Ovis aries: one gene and its partners. The main gene of each other region encodes a partner of the protein of the gene in region 3 in a complex. Links are inferred from orthologs where the notes say so. Each region holds a gene or a part of one and is shown on either strand. Other genes may lie near its edges. The genes, in order: CPLX1, SV2A and SYT1.

The links.
Region 1: the proteins of SYT1 (region 3) and CPLX1 are in contact, whole or in part, in a crystal structure (PDB 5W5C), measured with the Rattus norvegicus proteins. The link is inferred for Ovis aries from reciprocal best matches to the Homo sapiens genes SYT1 and CPLX1. Residues at the interface, in NP_001028852.2 of Rattus norvegicus: Glu271, Thr383, Gly384, Glu386, Thr406, Leu407, Gln408, Glu412, Met416; in NP_074055.1 of Rattus norvegicus: Val61, Met62, Gly65, Asp68, Lys69, Tyr70, Lys74.
Region 2: the proteins of SYT1 (region 3) and SV2A are in contact, whole or in part, in a crystal structure (PDB 4V11), measured with the Homo sapiens proteins. The link is inferred for Ovis aries from reciprocal best matches to the Homo sapiens genes SYT1 and SV2A. Residues at the interface, in NP_001129277.1 of Homo sapiens: Thr291, Lys314, Lys326, Lys327, Lys328, Glu342, Ser343, Phe344, Ser345; in NP_001315603.1 of Homo sapiens: Asp82, Thr84, Glu85, Gly86, His87, Asp88.

What each region holds. Positions count from the first base shown.
Region 1 is NC_056059.1:118,208,651-118,214,126, reverse strand, and holds part of CPLX1 (complexin-1), read right to left. Parts: intron 4,603-5,476; coding exon 4,427-4,602; intron 1-4,426. UniProt on the Homo sapiens protein: Positively regulates a late step in exocytosis of various cytoplasmic vesicles, such as synaptic vesicles and other secretory vesicles.
Region 2 is NC_056054.1:100,018,145-100,024,121, reverse strand, and holds the start of SV2A (synaptic vesicle glycoprotein 2A), read left to right. Parts: upstream 1-2,333; 5' UTR 2,334-2,437; intron 2,438-5,977. UniProt on the Homo sapiens protein: Plays a role in the control of regulated secretion in neural and endocrine cells, enhancing selectively low-frequency neurotransmission.
Region 3 is NC_056056.1:115,556,802-115,562,277, reverse strand, and holds part of SYT1 (synaptotagmin-1), read right to left. Parts: intron 2,563-5,476; coding exon 2,356-2,562; 3' UTR 1-2,355. UniProt on the Homo sapiens protein: Calcium sensor that participates in triggering neurotransmitter release at the synapse. May have a regulatory role in the membrane interactions during trafficking of synaptic vesicles at the active zone of the synapse.

The DNA of each region.
Region 1 (5,476 bases), on a different chromosome or scaffold from region 3:
TGCCCTGCCTCGGGGGGAGGGACGCGCAGGGCGGAGAGACACACCACCAGGAATTAGGTCAGACCAGAGGGAGCTTCCCTCCAGCCAGAGGCACAGAGTCCAGCAGTTCCCGCAGCTGCAGGACGTCTGTCCCCAACTGGGGCGCAGGTATGTGCGCTGGACCTAGGAGGCCGTGGTGGCCAAAGCCCCCCACCCCCCACACTCAGCAAAGGTGCACACACGCGCTCAGGGGAGCACGTGATGCTGGCGGAACAGGCGGGTGACAAGGGGACACACACGTAAGGGCAGGAACACAGGGTGTGTGGTCAGGCAGGGGGTCAGGGAGGGGTCTGTGTCACGGTCCTCCCCTCTAGGGTCCAGGAAGGAGACCCCGGGCCCCAAGTCAGTCGCTCCACTGAGGCTAAAAGCCATTCTGACCCTAAGCCACTCTGGGCAGACCTGAGGGCCACTTTACTCTTTGGGGTCACTCCCAGGGCCTGGCTTTGATGTGGTCTGGCTGAGCGCCTGTTTGAAACCCCACCCCTCCCCCAGCTCCCCCAGCCCAACCCCTTCCCTCCATCCTCCTCAACCACTGAGACAGTACCACTGAGGCCCGGAGGGAGCCCAGGCTGCCAGCGCCCTGGGCAAAGCAGTGCTCCCTAACGGTGAGAGTCAGCAATGTGCCCACACCTGTTACTCTCAGCGCAAACCTGGGCCAGGGGGGCTGGGTCGACCAGGACTCGCCAGCCCAGCGCTTGCTGGAGGGTGGTTCTGGCTCAGAGTCACTGATGGCCGCAGTGTAAACCAGAAGGCGGGGGCGCAGACCAGGAAGCAGGGACCAGATGACACAGGCGGCCAGTCTCCCCCGACCTGGACCCGCGCAGTGTGTCATGACGTCATTACGCGCGGGCCGGCGGGCATGGGGTGGGGGGAGGCACCACCCACCAGCCCGCAGAGGCCAGGAGCCCGGATGCAGATGAGGTTCCCCCAGGGAGCCGGGGCACGCGGCCTGGCCTGACCCCTCGGCCTCCGCGTGAGGGACCCCCACTCTCTTCCTTGACCAGTAGAGTTGTCTTAGGGATATACTTTTATATTCCTTTCTAAGTGATTGCTTGGCCAAAAACCTCAAAAATTTCTCTAAATCAGTGGTTCTGAACTGGAGCAATTTTGACCCCAGGGGATATTTGGCAATATCTGGATACATTTCAGGTTGTGAGGTTGGGGGTGGGGGCATGGGGCACCCCATGGGGCACCCCACCCCAGACAGCAGGAAGGGGCTGCAGGAAGTGGGTCTGGGGCCTGGGGGCCAGCGAGGGCCATTGGGGGAACCACTCCAAAAGGTCAGGGGTCCCACCTGTGGGGGCAGGGGGGCGGGAGGGGGTCACCTTGGAAGGCCAGGTTGAGAAGGGCTCTGCAGCCACGGGGGACCAGGCAGGGCCAGGGGATGTGATGGGGGGCGGCGTCGGTGGGTAGGGGGCTCCAGGCGCAGAGCTCATCGTCAGGATGTCTGGGGAGAGAGGGCAGTGGTGACCCCCACCCTGGATGGCCGGGGCAGCCTGTCCTTCCATAGCCGCGCTGTCCACCTCTAGGGTCTTGTGGGCAGAGCGGGCTCCTCTCTGTTGAGCTGGAGGCTCCTTGAAGGAGGTAACCAAATTCTTGGAGACCAACACTGAGGCTGTGAGGACCTGGGGCTTTGGGGCTCTAACATCCAGAGTGCATCAGACCCTGAGCTGCCTCCGACCCATGAATGGGGGCACTCATCATCAGCCTGTCTCCCCTGAACACCGACAGGCCTGGCCCCCACCTGTCAGACTCAGCTGCGTGTGTCGGCATGCTCCCCAACACACCACACCTTCCCTGCAGGCTGCCCCCAAGGACCAAGCCCTGGCCCCCTCGTCCCGCCTCATCCTCTGGTCGCAGAAGCTGGGCTTGGGCTGGTAAGGAAACTGCGGCCCCAGCCCCTGCATGGGGTGGGGCCCAGCTCTGACCCCTGCCCAGGCAACTGAACTCAGCAGACACCATCGTGCCCCATGGGCGGGTGAGACCAGACCCTGGACGTGCCCAGGAAGGAGGCCTGGGCCCAGCAGGGAGACCGTCCACCGTGGCTGATGGAGCCGCGGTGGGTCTGGGGACTGCCAGGGTCCAGAAGCGGCCTGGGGTCTGTGGAGGCAGTTCAGAAGCAAAGGCACTCAGCCCACCCACGGGGGTCCCAGATGGGGGTGATGCTCGTCTGGGGAAGCAGCACCACTGTCCAAGCGACCCCCGGGGCACCAGGCTAGGGGGCCGTGGGGCTCTGCCCAAGGCTGCAGCCTTCCGTGCTGTCGCCCTGGAAGCTGGGGTCCTGAGGGTGGGGGTGGTGAGGGTCGCCCTGCCCCCTGGCCTCCCATGGAGCTGCCCGCAGGGTGGGGACACACCCTCCATTTTCACTGGGACTCACTTTGTGACTTGTGAGTGCCACTCGGTTCCCTGAGGAAGAAAAGGACGCTGGAGCTGATGCCTGTTCACTCACTCACTCGTTTGCTCAGCATGCAAGGCCAAGTGCAGTCAGAGTCCCTGCCCTCCCTGCAGGGGATGGACAGTGAGCAGCAACCCAGTGAGAAGTGTGTGTCAGAGGAGGGGGGCTTCTCAGGTGGCTCAGCGGTAAAGAGTCTGCCTGCCAAAGCAGGAGGACACCGGAGACTGAGGCTGATCCCTGGGTCGGGAAGATCCCTGGAGGAGGAAAAGGCAACCCACTCTGGTACTCTTGCCTGGAGAACCCCACGGACAGAGGAGCCTGGCGGGATCGCAGGGAGCTGGACGCAACCGAGTGCGCAGGCATGCTCCCAGATGAAGGCCGGTGCGGAGCGAGGAAGGCAGGAGAGGAGCGCAGAGGCGGCAGGGCGGCGGGGCCTCAGGGAGCCCCAGAGCGCAGCAGCCAAGCAAAGGCCCTGGGGCAGTGGGAGCCCTGAGGGGCAGTGTCCCCACGCCCCTGGGGCTGGAGCCCCAGGGAGATGGGGCCGCTGGACAGTCTGAGGAGGGGAGGGGCAGAAGGGGCTTCCTATTACAGGCAGAATGCCTGAGCTGTCTCTCTGCCTTCTGGCCCCTCCCCGCCCATGGCTGCCTCCCTCTCTGCTGTCTGTGTGCTCTTCCTGGCCCTTCCCCAAAAGGCTCTGAAAGTCTTGTGGTTGGTCCTGGGGGTGAGGGTCTCATCAGCTGCTGCCCCAGCACAATCAACTTAAACTTTCTGCCCAGAAAGGTGTCCAGTGACCAGTGACGGGACACCAGGGTGCACCCCACCCTCCATCAGCATGGGGGCCCCCGTGGGCCCAGAGACCTGCAGGCGCCCGCCTGTGTCCGCATCGCAGAGGCCCTGCGAACCAGGCAGGAGGGAGGGGCTGGGGACTGTGGAGACGCCCTCTGGACGACCCCTCTGCCCATGCCCGGTCCCCTCCCACAGGCTTCAGCCAGTGTCTGGAAACACTTCCCTCAGGGCCCAGAGATGGGAGTGTCAGGGGGAGCAGGACAGAATTGAGAGGCAGCACCCCCAAACTGAGTCCCCCCCCCCAGGTCTCTGGGTGGAGAGGCCTGGCCCGTGTGGACCCCCGAGTGGTGCTCAAGGCCCAAGACGCTGTGGACCGTGGGAGGCCACGTGCTTCAGGACATCGTGGGGCCCTGGGGAGGGCCCTTGCTTCTCCACCTGGCCTGCAGGCCGGCCCACCCTGGAAGAGGCAGGAGCAGCTGCCCCATGCCTGCCCTTCCGACCCACAGCTGGGTGGGCACCTGAGGGTGGGCAGTGGACAGGCCCCTGGGGCCCGCAGCTGACAGCCTCCCATGTCTGCCCCTGCTCTGGCCTCGGGTCCCGGCCGGGTGTGTGCGCATGCCGTGCACACAGAGGAAGGTGCCAGAGGGTTCTGGAAAGATGACCTCGAGCTCCCAGCCCACCCCCAGCCAGCCCACACAGCCACAGACCTGCCCCCAACACCCTGTCATTCACCTCAGGGGCCTAAGGCCCACCCGGGCGGGGTCAGGGGCATCCTCCAGCCCAGGACGATTCACCCACCTGCAGCCCGCCGGTGGGCCAGCCCCTGGCCGCCCTGCCTCTCCTCTCCAGAAGGGCCTGCCCTCCAAGTCCCTGGGGGCAGTCCTGGGGGCAGCCACGGGAGCTTGTCCTACAGAAGCCAGCACGCCAGCCCGGGATCCTGGGAGGAGGGGTCCAGCCCCCGCCACCGGAGCCAGGAGGACTCGGACCGCAGGGCGAGCCCCAGGCCCGGTGAGCGTGTGCAGACGCGCGCGCTGGGACGCGGGATCTCCCCCGCCCGCCCCCTCCCCGGGGGGCCCTCCGCGAGGTCCGTTCTGCGAGCCTCGGAGGAGGGCGGGCGGCGGCCCAGCCCGGCTTCGCCCAGCCCTCGCGCAGGCAGCACCCCCAGCCCGGCCCCGGCCCCCGGTGCCGAGCCGCCGCCGCGCCCACCTTGTCGCGGATGCCCTGCCGCACGGCCTCGCGCTCCGCCTCCATCTTGGCGTACTTGGCCTTGCGCTCCTCCTCCTCCTGGCGCAGCGCCTCGCGCCGCTCCTCCTCCTTCTTGGCGGCGTCAGGGTCCTTCTCCTCGTCGCCCCCGAGCATCTTGCCCATGTCCTTGGTGGCCCCTGGGCACAGGAAGGCGGGAGTCAGGCCAGGCCCGGCTTCTCCTTGCCCTGCGCCCTCGGCCTCCAGTGTGGGGCGGAGGAGGCTGGGGCTGTCGGGGTGCGACTGCACGAGGGCTCCTGCGGGCCTCTGTGCTGCGGTTCTGTGTGTGGTGTGTGTGGTTTTGGGTATGTGGTTGTGTTTGTGTGCCTGTGTGTGGTTGTTGTGTGTGTCTGCGTGTAGTTGTGTGTGTGTGTGGTTGTTGTGTGTCTATGGGTGGTTGTGTGCATGCCTGTGGCTTTGTGTGTGTGGTTGTGTCTGTGGTTGTGTGTGATAGTCTTTGTGTGCTTGTGGGTGGTTGTGTGTGTGCCTGTGGGTAGCTGTGTGTCTGTGAGTGGTTGTGTGTGTGTGTCTGGTTGTGTGTGTTTCTATGGGTGGCTGTGTGTGGCTGTGGCTGTGTGTGTGGTTTTGTGTATGTGGTTGTGTTTGTGTGCCTGTGTGTGGTTGTTGTGTGTGTCTGCATGTAGTTGTGTGTGTGTGTGGGTGTGGGTGGTTGTGTGCATGTCTGTGGCTTTGTGTGTGTGGTTGTGTTTGTGTGCCTGTGGGCGGTTGTCTGTGTGTGTTTCTGTGCTGTGTGTGTCTGCATGTAGTTGTATGTGTGTACACCTGTGGGTGGTTGTGTGTGTGGTTGTGTGCATGTCTGGTTTTGTGTGTGTGGTTGTGTTTGTGTATCTGTAGGTGATTATGGTGGTTTGTGGGGTTCGATGTGTGTGTCTGTGGTTGTGTGTGATAGTGTTTGTGTGCCTATGGGGTGGTTGTATGTGCCAGTGAGTAGTTATGTGTGTGTGGTGTGTGTGTGGTGTGTGTGTGATGTGTCTGTGTGTGTGGGTGGCTGTG
Region 2 (5,977 bases), on a different chromosome or scaffold from region 3:
CATTAAGGTCAAGGGTCTACTTGAGGTGATCACAAAGAGAGTAGGTGGAAGCAGAGAAGGGCCCTGAACTCAGCCCCTAGGAAACTTAGTGGACCCAGAAAAGGGGCCCTTGAAGGAGTAGCTGGTGAGGTGCATGGGTCCTTGGTTCTAGGGAGAAATGATAAAGTCTTTCCTCAGAACTTGAAAAATATATCCACCCTTTCCCTCTAAGAGTACAAGATTTCTATTTTAGAAATGGATAAGTAATGGCTAAGTAGAGCATATGCAAAGTCACCTTAAAGAGAAGACATGGCTCCCTGCCAGCGGAACTTGGCTATAACCTAATTGAAAATATTTACATATTTAAATGAAGAATATGTCAACCTGAAGAGAAGTCAGCAGTGAATGCTAGTAACGGGAGAGTCCCTCAGGCCCATATGGGCACAGCCTTTCCAAGAGCCATCCTGGAAAGAGTGCTTCAACCAGCGGAGTTAGAGTAGTCCAGGAGCATTGGCAAGGCTGCCCACAGCGTAGAGATGGGGGGTGGAGAATCGTAGCCAAGAAGAGTTTTCTGAACCCATTGGCACGACTCCTTGCTGGGGATGGCCAGATGCCATTAAAGACACAACTCCTCCTCTTTGGTTATATCAATGTGCATTTATATGTTGACATTATTGTTGACTTGGTTTAAAGGGAGAGAATGTGCTGGACATGCAGACATGAGTTTTCCTTCAGTGTGAGTGACAGTTAAATTTTTCTCTGTAACTTAACACTTACGTATTATGGCTTTCTGTTTTAGTAAATTGTAAACCTTGTTGGCACAAAACAATATTCCAAGATGTAGCTTTGTGAAACTCCAGAGACCCATATCTTTGTCAGTGATAAATTCAGTACCACAAATGCCACCTGTGAGGTTGGGGACACCCAGCTGCCAGCCCTCTCCATGTAACGTATCCTAACATTTTGAAACCTCTGTGCTTAACAGAACAGAACCACACATTATTAAATATAAGAGATCCAATGCAGCATCTACTCTAAGCCCCTCATTTTCCAGCTGAGAAAACTGGGGTTCAGAGAGACAGAGAACTTGACCAAGGGCCCACAGCTTATTGGAAGTGAGAACCCTGGTCAGTGCTCTGTCCAAATAACCCCAGTCCTTACCTCGAATAGGTAGACTTACATTCAGTATGAGCATCTCCAAAGTACCTGCTTCCCTCATCTCTGAAGCAAATATGTTCACCAAGTGGTATGTCTTGGATCTCTAAGCCCAGGTTATTGATACTGAGGCAAAGGAAAGATAAAAGGAAAGAAGTGAAACCAATTCACTTTGTTCTTGCCCTGGAAGCAGAAGTGTGTGTGTGTGTGTGTGTGTGTGTGTGTGTGTGTGTGTGTGTGTGTGTGTGTGTGTTAAGAGAAAGTGGGGAAGAGTACTGCGGGAGATTGTTGTTGGTTTTTTTTTGAGTTATTGTAACAAATACCTAGGGCTTCCCTGGTGGCTCAGTGGTAAAGAATCCATCTGCCAATGAAGGACAGGAGATGAGTGTTGATCCCTGGGGTCAGGAAGATCTTCTGGAAAAGGAAATGGCAACCCACTCCAGTCTTGCCTGGGAAATCCCATGGACAGAGGAGCCTGGCTAGCTAGTCTATGGGGTAGAAAAAGAGTAGGATATGACTTAGGGACTTAACAACAGCAAGAAGGAAATAATTGGCAGGGGAGATGCCCAACTGGTCATGCCCATCAAACCCCTGCAGCTTCTCCAACCTCTGCTGTCACCAGCAGAACGGAGGACAAGGAGGTCTGATTGGAAATAAATAGTCTGGAAAGAGATAACAAGGATCCAGGAGTTTCCTTCTCTGGCAGTTTAGGATAAAAACCACATTTTGTTATTCTTGCTTCCTGTGAAACAGCCAGGTAAACTTGGAGTGTGAGCAGTCCAGATTTGGGAGTTTGGCTAGGAACAGTGAGGAAGGGAAAGGGAGGCGATTTGAAGGCAGAGCGAGTCCCTAACATTTGTGGGTCTTGCCATTCCGGGACTGAGGCTCTGAGGAAGGGGCTGCCTCGTTCACCATCTCCCTTTCTGTCTTCCCACTTGCCTTCTCGACATCAGTATTACTTTCCTTAGATCCTTTAGTCTTTAACTAGGAGGGGCTGGTGTCATCTCCAGCTGCCCCTGTGACAGCCCCTCCAGCTCCCTCACCGCCTCTCCCCAGCCCCGAGTCCCTCCCCATCCTCTTTTTTCTTCCACCCCCCACCCCCCAACAATGGTCTCTCCCGACGCTCACTGGTGCGGGGGGCGGGGGAGGGCGGGGGGAGGGCGGAGGCGGGGCCGGAGCCCGTGGGGGGGCAGGTCTGCATTGCTGCTTCCCTTGGTACCCAGAGCAGACGCCGCTGCCGCCTGCCCCACCGCCGGGACCCCCGCCCTCACCCGGACTCCCTTATCTGGGGGACCCAGCCCAGGTGAGACCCCTCTCTCAGTTTCTCAGCTCCACCCCGCCCCGGGGCAGAAGCATCCTCGCCTTGTCTTGCAGCCATTTTATCTTCCGATGCTTTGCTTGTGGGGAGGGTGACCGTCCCTCATCGGGGGTGACGGGATTGCTGGTGGTTTGAATGGACATTTATGGCGGTTGCTGTGTTGATCAGAGAAGGAAATATATATATTTATACATATATATATGTGTGGAGGAGGGGTGTTTTTCTCTACCTTAACCAAGCTCATACTACTCTCCTCAGATGTTAACGGGGGTGGGGGCTTGTAAGGTGGAATAGGGTTCCCTCAAACTCCAATTCCCAACTCATCTTGCACCCCCCCCTCCACCTCTCCCCCTCGCCCCGCGTGATAGATGACCTTGGCTGGGGCGGGAGAATATATGCTGCCTCAGTCTGTGCACCTGGACTTGGGTTGCGGGTGGTGGGGGGGAGCGGTTGGGTTTGTGGGGTGTGTGGGGGGGGAGGGGGTTGGTGGAGGAAGGGCAGATGAAGGAGGGAAGAAAGGGAATGGTGAACGGAAATGTTGGGTAGATAGAGGTGGTGAACAACCAGGCTTGGGGGTATGGTTGGGGGTGGGGCTGGAGGCAGGCAGTCGCTCTGGGGTCGGGGTCGGGGGAAGGGGTGTTGAGTGCTGATGGGCACTAGTCCAGCAGCAGAATCAAGGGTGAGGGGAGGCGCTGGGAGAATGGGTTCAGTCAGTTCTAGGGGCTCCGCTCTTATACCAGAGTAGGGCAGGATGGAGAGGGTCGCCGCGGATGCTGGCAGGGGCGGTCTCTATGCCTGCGCTCCTGAAGATCTCCCCTTGCATTCTGGTCCCTGCCTCTCCGAATTCCTCCTTGGACATTCTCAGCTGACACCTTGATCTTTTCCCCATCAGAACTGTGGAGACTCCATCTTCCAAACCGTAGGGTAGTATGTAGGCAGGAGTGGTGCAGCCTTGGCTGTCCTGGGGTGGGGATCGAGGCTCAGTTACCCAGCAGAGGTGGGGAGGGGTGCTCCAGCACCTCTCTCCCCCACAACCATGAATGTTTTGATAAGTGATTGCTTCTTAACGACCTTGTCACCTGGGCTAGGGTGGGTTGGGAAATCCAGGTGGCTTCCAAAGTCAGGGGCTTTGATGGAGGTGAGGGGTTCTGGACCTTCCCACCCCACAACCAATCTTGGGCTGAGTTATCCTGAGAGGAAGCCTTTGCTCAGAGTCTCCTGCCTCCCCCCATCCTCTGCAGAAAATCTCTCGGGCATGTTTTCCCATCAGGTGAAGCCAACCGACCTTAAAGAGCCCTGTAACCCTGAATCTTATCTCCTTTAACCTCTACGTCTCTGAGTCTGTCTCCCTCCCACAAGCTTAGCCACCCTGTGCTGCTTTGGGGGCTAAAAATAGCACCACTTTCTCACCAGCTTGAAGAATTTGTCTTCTTTCTCTCCCTCCTGAGCTCCTGGGCTTGTTGGCCCTGGGGGAGCTGGCTGCTGAGCCATCACGTCCTGCTGTGGCTCCGGGGCCCTCTGTGCCCTTCCGGTTCCTCTCAGGGGTGGAGAGTGTAAACAAACACCGAGCGTGGCTCCTGCTGGGCCCATCTGCCTGTGCCAGGGTTTGGGGGGAGAGCCTAACAGGGAAGGAAAGGTGAGGCAAACAAATTGCATGCCAAAAGGGGATTCCACTGTTCCCTCTCTCCAATGGGGGATGGTTTGGGCCTTGAACCACAAGGAAAGAAGGTGACATAGGGGTCACTGGTTCTGGTCATCGTGGTCCACTGCTCACATCTGACCTGAGGGGGTAGGGCTCTGCTTTGCCAGTGCTTCTTTCTAAACTACATAGCATTACTTACTCCTTCTGCCTGGGCCACTGTGTGTGTGTGTGTGTGTGTGTGTGTGTGTGTGTGTGTGTGTGTGTGTATAAGTGTATGTGTGACATTTAATGAAGGCCCTGGATGGGTTGGAACAGAATGAAGCAGGATATTTTTAGGGTAATGATCTCTGATCAGAATCTAGTCCTGCTTCCTCTGCTTCTATAAAGGAAGAGGGGCTTCTCCCATGCTTGCCTCTGGAGGATGTCTTTTGTGGGGGAGGGGAGGTCCAAGCCCCCTTCATTCTATATGAGCTCCTACGCAATGCGGTATTTATGGACTCCCTTTTCCTTGACTCTTGGAGGAGGAGCAGAAAGGATTAAGGGGGATTAGAAAGGGAGGCCATGGAGGAAGGAGGTACAACCATAGACCTTAGATGCCCATGTTGGAAATGTATGTGTTTGATTTTCCACCCCTACCCCCACCGGTGAAAGGGGGCCCATTTATGACATCCTGAAGGAAGGTGGCAAGCCAGTCGTTACCTCTTTTTTAGATTTTGGTCTGCCCCTTTTTCCCCATGACCTCAGATTCCAGGTCTCCCTTTTTGTGAGTCTTCCATTGTTTGTCTGGAGCAGACAGTATGGGTCCAGCTGCTGGCATTTGTTTGAACACAGAGGGGTTTTGGGGATTCTGTATTGGGAGGTTACAACAGCATCCAAATGTGACCCCCCCCCTGCTTTGCCCTTGCTGCTTCTTTCACAGTTTTTAATCTAGTAGGAAGGAAAGAAACTAATAGAAGGTCTGCTGTGAGATTAAATTATCACATCCACCTGGAGAAATAGAGATTATTATCCCCAGTTTAAATATAAGGACTCTGAGGTTTAGAGATGTTCAGGAACCTGCTCAAGATCAGTTAGTAAATGGCAGAGCTGGAATTTCAACTTATGTCATCTGATTGTCATGCGCTGTGCACTGAACCAGCTCTCTCCTTGCCAGTATCCCTTTCTGCCATTCACCCTAAAGAGCATCCACAGGTGGCTTTCGTTCTAACGTCTTGTGAGGGAGTGGAGGTCATCTTACCACATTACTATCACCACAAAGAGTAATAACTAATATTTATTCATCAGTTGTTATGTGCCAGGCACTATGGTAAAGAGCTTATACTCATTATGTCATTTAATCCTTACTTCCCCCTCTTTAATGAGAGGGAACTAAGGCTTTGAGGATCAGAGACATGCTCATGGTCACTTAGTAAGCTGTTGAAGCAGGAAGTCAAATCTAAGTCTGTCTGATTCTGGAAGCTGAGCTTTCACCCACTGAGCTATGTTGGGAGAAGACTCTTCTTTGTGAAGCCTACAAACATGGAACCTGAGGAAGGACCATAAAGCCCCATATTCAGATGCCATCAGTGGTCTGAAGGCAACAGGTTGAAGGATTCAGTTGTCCTTCTATACGTTCCCTGCAAGCTCTGCTCCCAGTAAGAAACCCAGACCAGACTAGAGAAGGGAGTTTTGGTTTCTCCATTTCCTGTTTTATCTTTGGCAGGTGGGTGGTAAAGCAAATGGTCTGTTCTTGAAGTGGGGCCAGGGATCAGGAGATGGGCTCTGGGTAGGTGATCGTGACTTTGGAGCAAATCCCATGGGTCTAGTCTCCAAGGTCAAAGTAAGAGATGTATACTGAATGGCCCATAGCAGGCCCAGACAGTCATCCTTTTTTCCTGAGTTGG
Region 3 (5,476 bases):
TCGGTGCGAACAACTTAAAGCTGAATACAGTGAACTCATGTCAATTTCTGATATTCAAGGAACTTAAAAAAGTCAGTCAACTCCCTTGCTTTGGTAGGGTCTTATCTTTTAAATCGGAAGGAGTCTCATTTGAATCTTTTTTTTTAAAGCAGGTGTTTAATCTGACATCAGGACTTGTGCATTTTCTACTGTCTACTTTTTGGAAAAAAGTGTGGAGCATCCACAGAAGGGGGAGGTCTTATTCTCCCTTCGTCCTTCAGGTCTATCCCAGTCCCGAGGAGTCTGCTGCAACTGGGCTGAAAGGCCAAAGGGCTGGCCTCTGCTTTGATAAGGAAAGAACTAGACAGGAATTCTAGTTTTCTCAGGAAACGGCCAGCCCTACGATTGACGCTTCCCGTTAGGCTTTTTTGAATTCTCTTTGAGGTTTTAAGAACCGTGGCACGAAATCCAAAAGCCTGAACGTGAGGCCAATGCTTAGCTTCCTTCCATTTTGTTCTGGTATTTTTGAAGACAGACTTCCCCTTCAGAGCATTCCTACTCTCTCTGGCCTGGGAGTGAGAAGGAACCACAGAGGCTGGTGGGAGCAAAGGCTAGATGCAGTGTGAGATCAGAGGCTGCCCTTCGGTGAAGTGGTGGTCTGCTGCAGTGGGGATAAATGTGGTATATTGCACAGTGCTTGACAAAATGCTGTGTGATCCACCTCGTGCTTTCTGTCGTTCTTATCCTATGCATAGCTTTTCGGTGCTGAGTTGGTCCTTTGTAATGAGAACTGTTTGTGCTACACACACCTTGGGCAGTGCAGTAGGAGGGAATGGCAGTATTGTTACAATATCACTAAGGAATAGACTGAGTGCTATCCACTGAGGAAACTACGTTACGTGTCTAAGCACACACGGCAGTCACAGTGTTACACAGAGCAGTCCTTTAAGACGCTTATGGAATGACTAGTAGCTTCATAATAGTGCCGTTTACTACATAATAACATTGAAAACATTTAAAAACTCCTCCTAAATCAAGCATCTAGTATACATAAGAGGTTGCTTCAGTTTTCTAGAACTTATTCTTGGTTGTGTTTCACCTTTTTTTATTTTAAAGGACAAATTAAAACTTATTTACGTAAAAAGAGCATATAAAAAGATCACTAGCTAACTGTCTGTTTTGGCTTTAATGGAGGTGCATTCAGAACTATGGCTAGTTATTTCCTTCCTCTTTTGATGGGATTACAATACTGTCTGTTTACCACCAAGTAATCTTGTGTCCTAAGCACAGACTGCTGTGTTAAAAATATTCTGCATTCCTTCTAATCCAGTATAATAAAATGTTCTGTTATGGAGTCTGATGTGCAAACCTTTGGAGTCATTGTAGGTGTGACAGCTGGGACAGAATTCACAGGGTGCACAGGGTGTGTGAAGCTGAGAACGGAGAGCTACTTTTCTTCTTGAATAGTCAGGCAACATTTCGAAATGCCGACTTCTTCTCTCCTCTGCTTCTTTCCCACCCCTCCCATCCCCAGACAAATGTGGGTGTGTACACACACACACACACACACACACAAACACACACACACACGGAACACCATCATGTCGGTACTCTATGTGCAGTAACATGGAATCACTGACCGCTGGTCAGTTGCTTCCGCGAATGTCAGAGTGAAGCTCTGCCTTGAGCTCTGTAGATGTGCACAGACGGATGCTATTCTGTTTGTGCCTGGAGGTCAGGCTGGCTGGGTGCTGCTCAGATCATGCTAATTTGCCTGTGAAGAAATTCTACCAAATTGGATTCACCCACCAAATTTGTGGTGCAAGCGTATCTTGGTGCTCACATGATTCAACAGAAAGCTCAGGTTTAAGTTGTCCTTTAAGGTGTCAGCTTCACCGTACTAGTGCCTTACAAGTTGAGATTGCTGGAATGCAGATGATACTCTATTTACCGTATAATATATTATCAGCTCTCCTATATCTCAGTCAATTTACATAGTTTAAAATAGAACATCTTATTAAAAACATCTAGATATACACAGATTAGGAAACACTTACAACATACAAATACACAAACTAGAAATAAATCTTTAGCATACTGGTATATACAACGGTGTGATACAATAAAGAATTTCCGTCATGCTCTATCTACACATCATATTGCTTAAAAGAAGAGTAGATTTGGAGGGCAGTGGGATGATGAAGGGCTTTGGGGCTCTCTACATTTAAATTTGTGCAAATTAAAACAGGGTTTGAAGTACCACTGAATTGTGTTAGGAATGCATGGCTGGAAAAATGAAAGGACCCATATTACTGAGGTATTTACAGATACTGGCTAAAGAGCACTATGTGGGCAAACACAGAGAGGCTTCTTCCCTTACTTCTTGACTGCCAGCATGGCGTCCACCTCCTCCTCCACCTGCAGGGTGTGCCACTGGGCGATGGGGCGCCGGGGGTTGGCCAGCATGTCTGACCAGTGTCGCAGCTCCGCCCCAGTGCTGTTGTAGCCCACGAACACTTTGCCGATGGCATCGTTCTTGCCAATCTTGTCATAGTCCAAAACAGTTACCACCACTTGCACTTTCTGAGAGAGGACACAAAATACACATTAATCAGCCAGCTCTAGAGATACAGTCCTACCACCCAGCTTCCTTGAGATCCAAGCAATTGGGAGCTAAGAAGAGCCGATCCGCAAGTGCCAGGACGAGGCTGAAAATGACTGGGAACCTAACACAAGTCCAGTCCCTCTTGTCATTATCACATCATCATCATCTGCAGCATCTTCAAAATACTTAATAGATGTCCGTTTTGGCACAGTTCTAAGACTTTCGTGTGGACTGCTGAGTTACATTAGATCCTGTTAACTGCTGTCATACAGATAAGATGCTAAAGCTCAGAGGAGTTAAATCACCTGCCTCAAGTCATATAAGAAATGAGTGGTTTGGTTTCCGGGGTTCATCCTGTAAAATACCATGCCACGCCGCCCATGTCAACCTGTGTTCACTGTTAAATCCATTTGTTTCTATTGTTTTATCAACAAAATTTCTGACATTAGTACTCAGATCATTTTCTTGGAGGGGGCGGTTACAGTTTTCAAAGCAACCATATACTGCAACCCTATTTCAGGTGGGAAGAGCCAGCATAGTTTTATTTAAAACTACTGTAGAATTCCAGCTAATCAATGATTATTGTGAGTATGAAGTGTCACAATAGAGTAAAAGTCTTCAATAAGTAGTAATTAACTAAAGGTATTTTTTTCTCATTCATAAATTCTCTCAATAAAAACGAAGTAACTGTGTATCCAGTGTTGACATCAAATGGAAATAACCCTTTAGGCTGACAAGATTTACTCCAAGTGATTCCGTTAGGTTGTGAGGGTTTATTTTATTTTTTCCAAGATTTAAACTTATTATTTTGTACTGGGGTATAGCCAATTAACAATACTGTGATAGTTTCAGGTGAGCAGCAGAGGCACTCAGCCATACATATACCTGTATCCATCTCCTCTAAACCCCCCTCCCATCCAGGCTGGAACATAACACTGAGCAGAGTTCCATGTGCTGTACAGTAGGATAACCTTGTTGGTTATCCATTTTGAATATGGCTGTATGTTCATGATCTTCCCAAAGTCCCTAATTATCCCTTCCCCCTGAAAACCCTAAGTTTGTTTTCTGTTTCTTTCTGTTTGGCAAGTTCGTTTGTATCAGTTCTTTTTAGATTCCACATAGAAGGGATGTCGTGTGATATTTCTCCTTTTCTGTGTGACTTACTTTATTCCGCGTGACACTCTAGGTCCTGCCATGTTATTGCAAATGGCATTATTTCCTTCTTTTTAAATGGGATTATTTCTTTTTAATGGCTGAAAAATATTGTGATGGTGTATTTAATGCCTTACTATTTTGAACTGGTGAAAGAAAATCTATGCCAGTTTGACATGAAAAAAACATTTTCTAAAAGTACATTTTGGTTCTTTCTAAGTAACTGATTTGCTTAGTCAAAATAGGCAACAGTTCCGATCTAGAAACCAAGGGAAAAGATAAAGGACAAATTTAGAGTAAAGTGAATTTATAACATTTGGTGGCCAGAGTCAAAAGAAGCAGAAAATGTAACGATGGAAGCCAGGGCCAGATGAAGAGCCTGCCCAGCTGTGGCCCTTTACTGCTCTGTTGTCTGAGGATTGCATTCTGTATGAACGTCCTGAGAGAGGCGCCCACACAAAGCTTCAGATCAGAGAAAAAAGATCACTTCTGAGAGTGGAATTGAGAATGTAGAATGTAGCACACGGGCAGTTAGAGGAAACAAATTTCCCTTTTGTGCAGCCGTGGATTGATTCCATTATCAAGAGAATGACCTATTTACTGGATGGCATTCGGGACCAAGAAGAGCATCATGGTGGTTCTGTGTACTTTTCCCAAGTGAATTTATCTGGATGCCATTTTATTGCAGCAAATGGGGGCAGAGACACTAGGGGCATCGTGGACAAAGGGAACTAGGGTTTTGGAGGTTGGAGTGAATAGTTGGAGTGAGTTTTGGTTGTTTCACCTAGGAATATATTGATTAGTAGCAACCAGGACAAAATATCCTTATAAGGGACTTGAGTCAGTTTTTCCAGCTGTGTATGTAGTATATACATTTTTGGGGAGTGGAGGGGTGGTTTGCTGCATTTTCTTGTGATTTGGGGGAATCAGTATATTTTGTTTCTTTCTTGTTTCATGTGGATAGGGGCAGAAAGACACTCTTATAACCTCAGGATAAATGAAACCTAAGTCCCTATCACAGCATGTTAAATGCTCAATTATTTTCTCTTGGGAAATGCAAAGCTTAGGTAAGCAGCCTCTTGGGGGAAAAAAGAGAAAAAAGAGCAAATTGACTCACAGAACAGAGAAGACAGGATACAGTCAAAGGCATGCTCATTTTTTTCATGCCTCATGGACTCTGTATCAGGCTCTCTCTGTCCTGACAAAATGTTATCTTCTCTGAAAGGCTGCCTCAGAAACCCAGCACACATCTTGTTTCTAATGTGCTTCATTTTTCAATACGTTTGCATTTGCTGAAATTTATAGTTGAAAAGGGACATGTATTTTTTTCTTTTGATGTATAGAAGTATAGCTCAGAGGAATAGATTTACAATAGGATTTTTTATTTCAATGTCCTGCCTTAAATAGTTTTGTGGAATTAAAGCACAAAATGCCAGGAGGTGTTAATTTCCATAGGACTAATGTCTCAGAACTAAAAAAAAAAAAAAAAAAAAAAAGAGTTCATCAAGTAAATACTGTAAAATAAATTTCCCGAGAAATCTTGGATGTCTTAATTTGCCAGTGGGTCCAGAGCAGTGAGCTCACTGGTTCAGACTAGTAAACAAGTGACTGGGGACAGGGAATCTTCTGCAATGTCATTTACTTGTAGAAGAGCTATGGAAAGTAAATAAGTGTATACAATCTGCTGACGTGGAAATATATATAAGAAAGGTTATATAAAAACTGTGAACTCATGTGAGG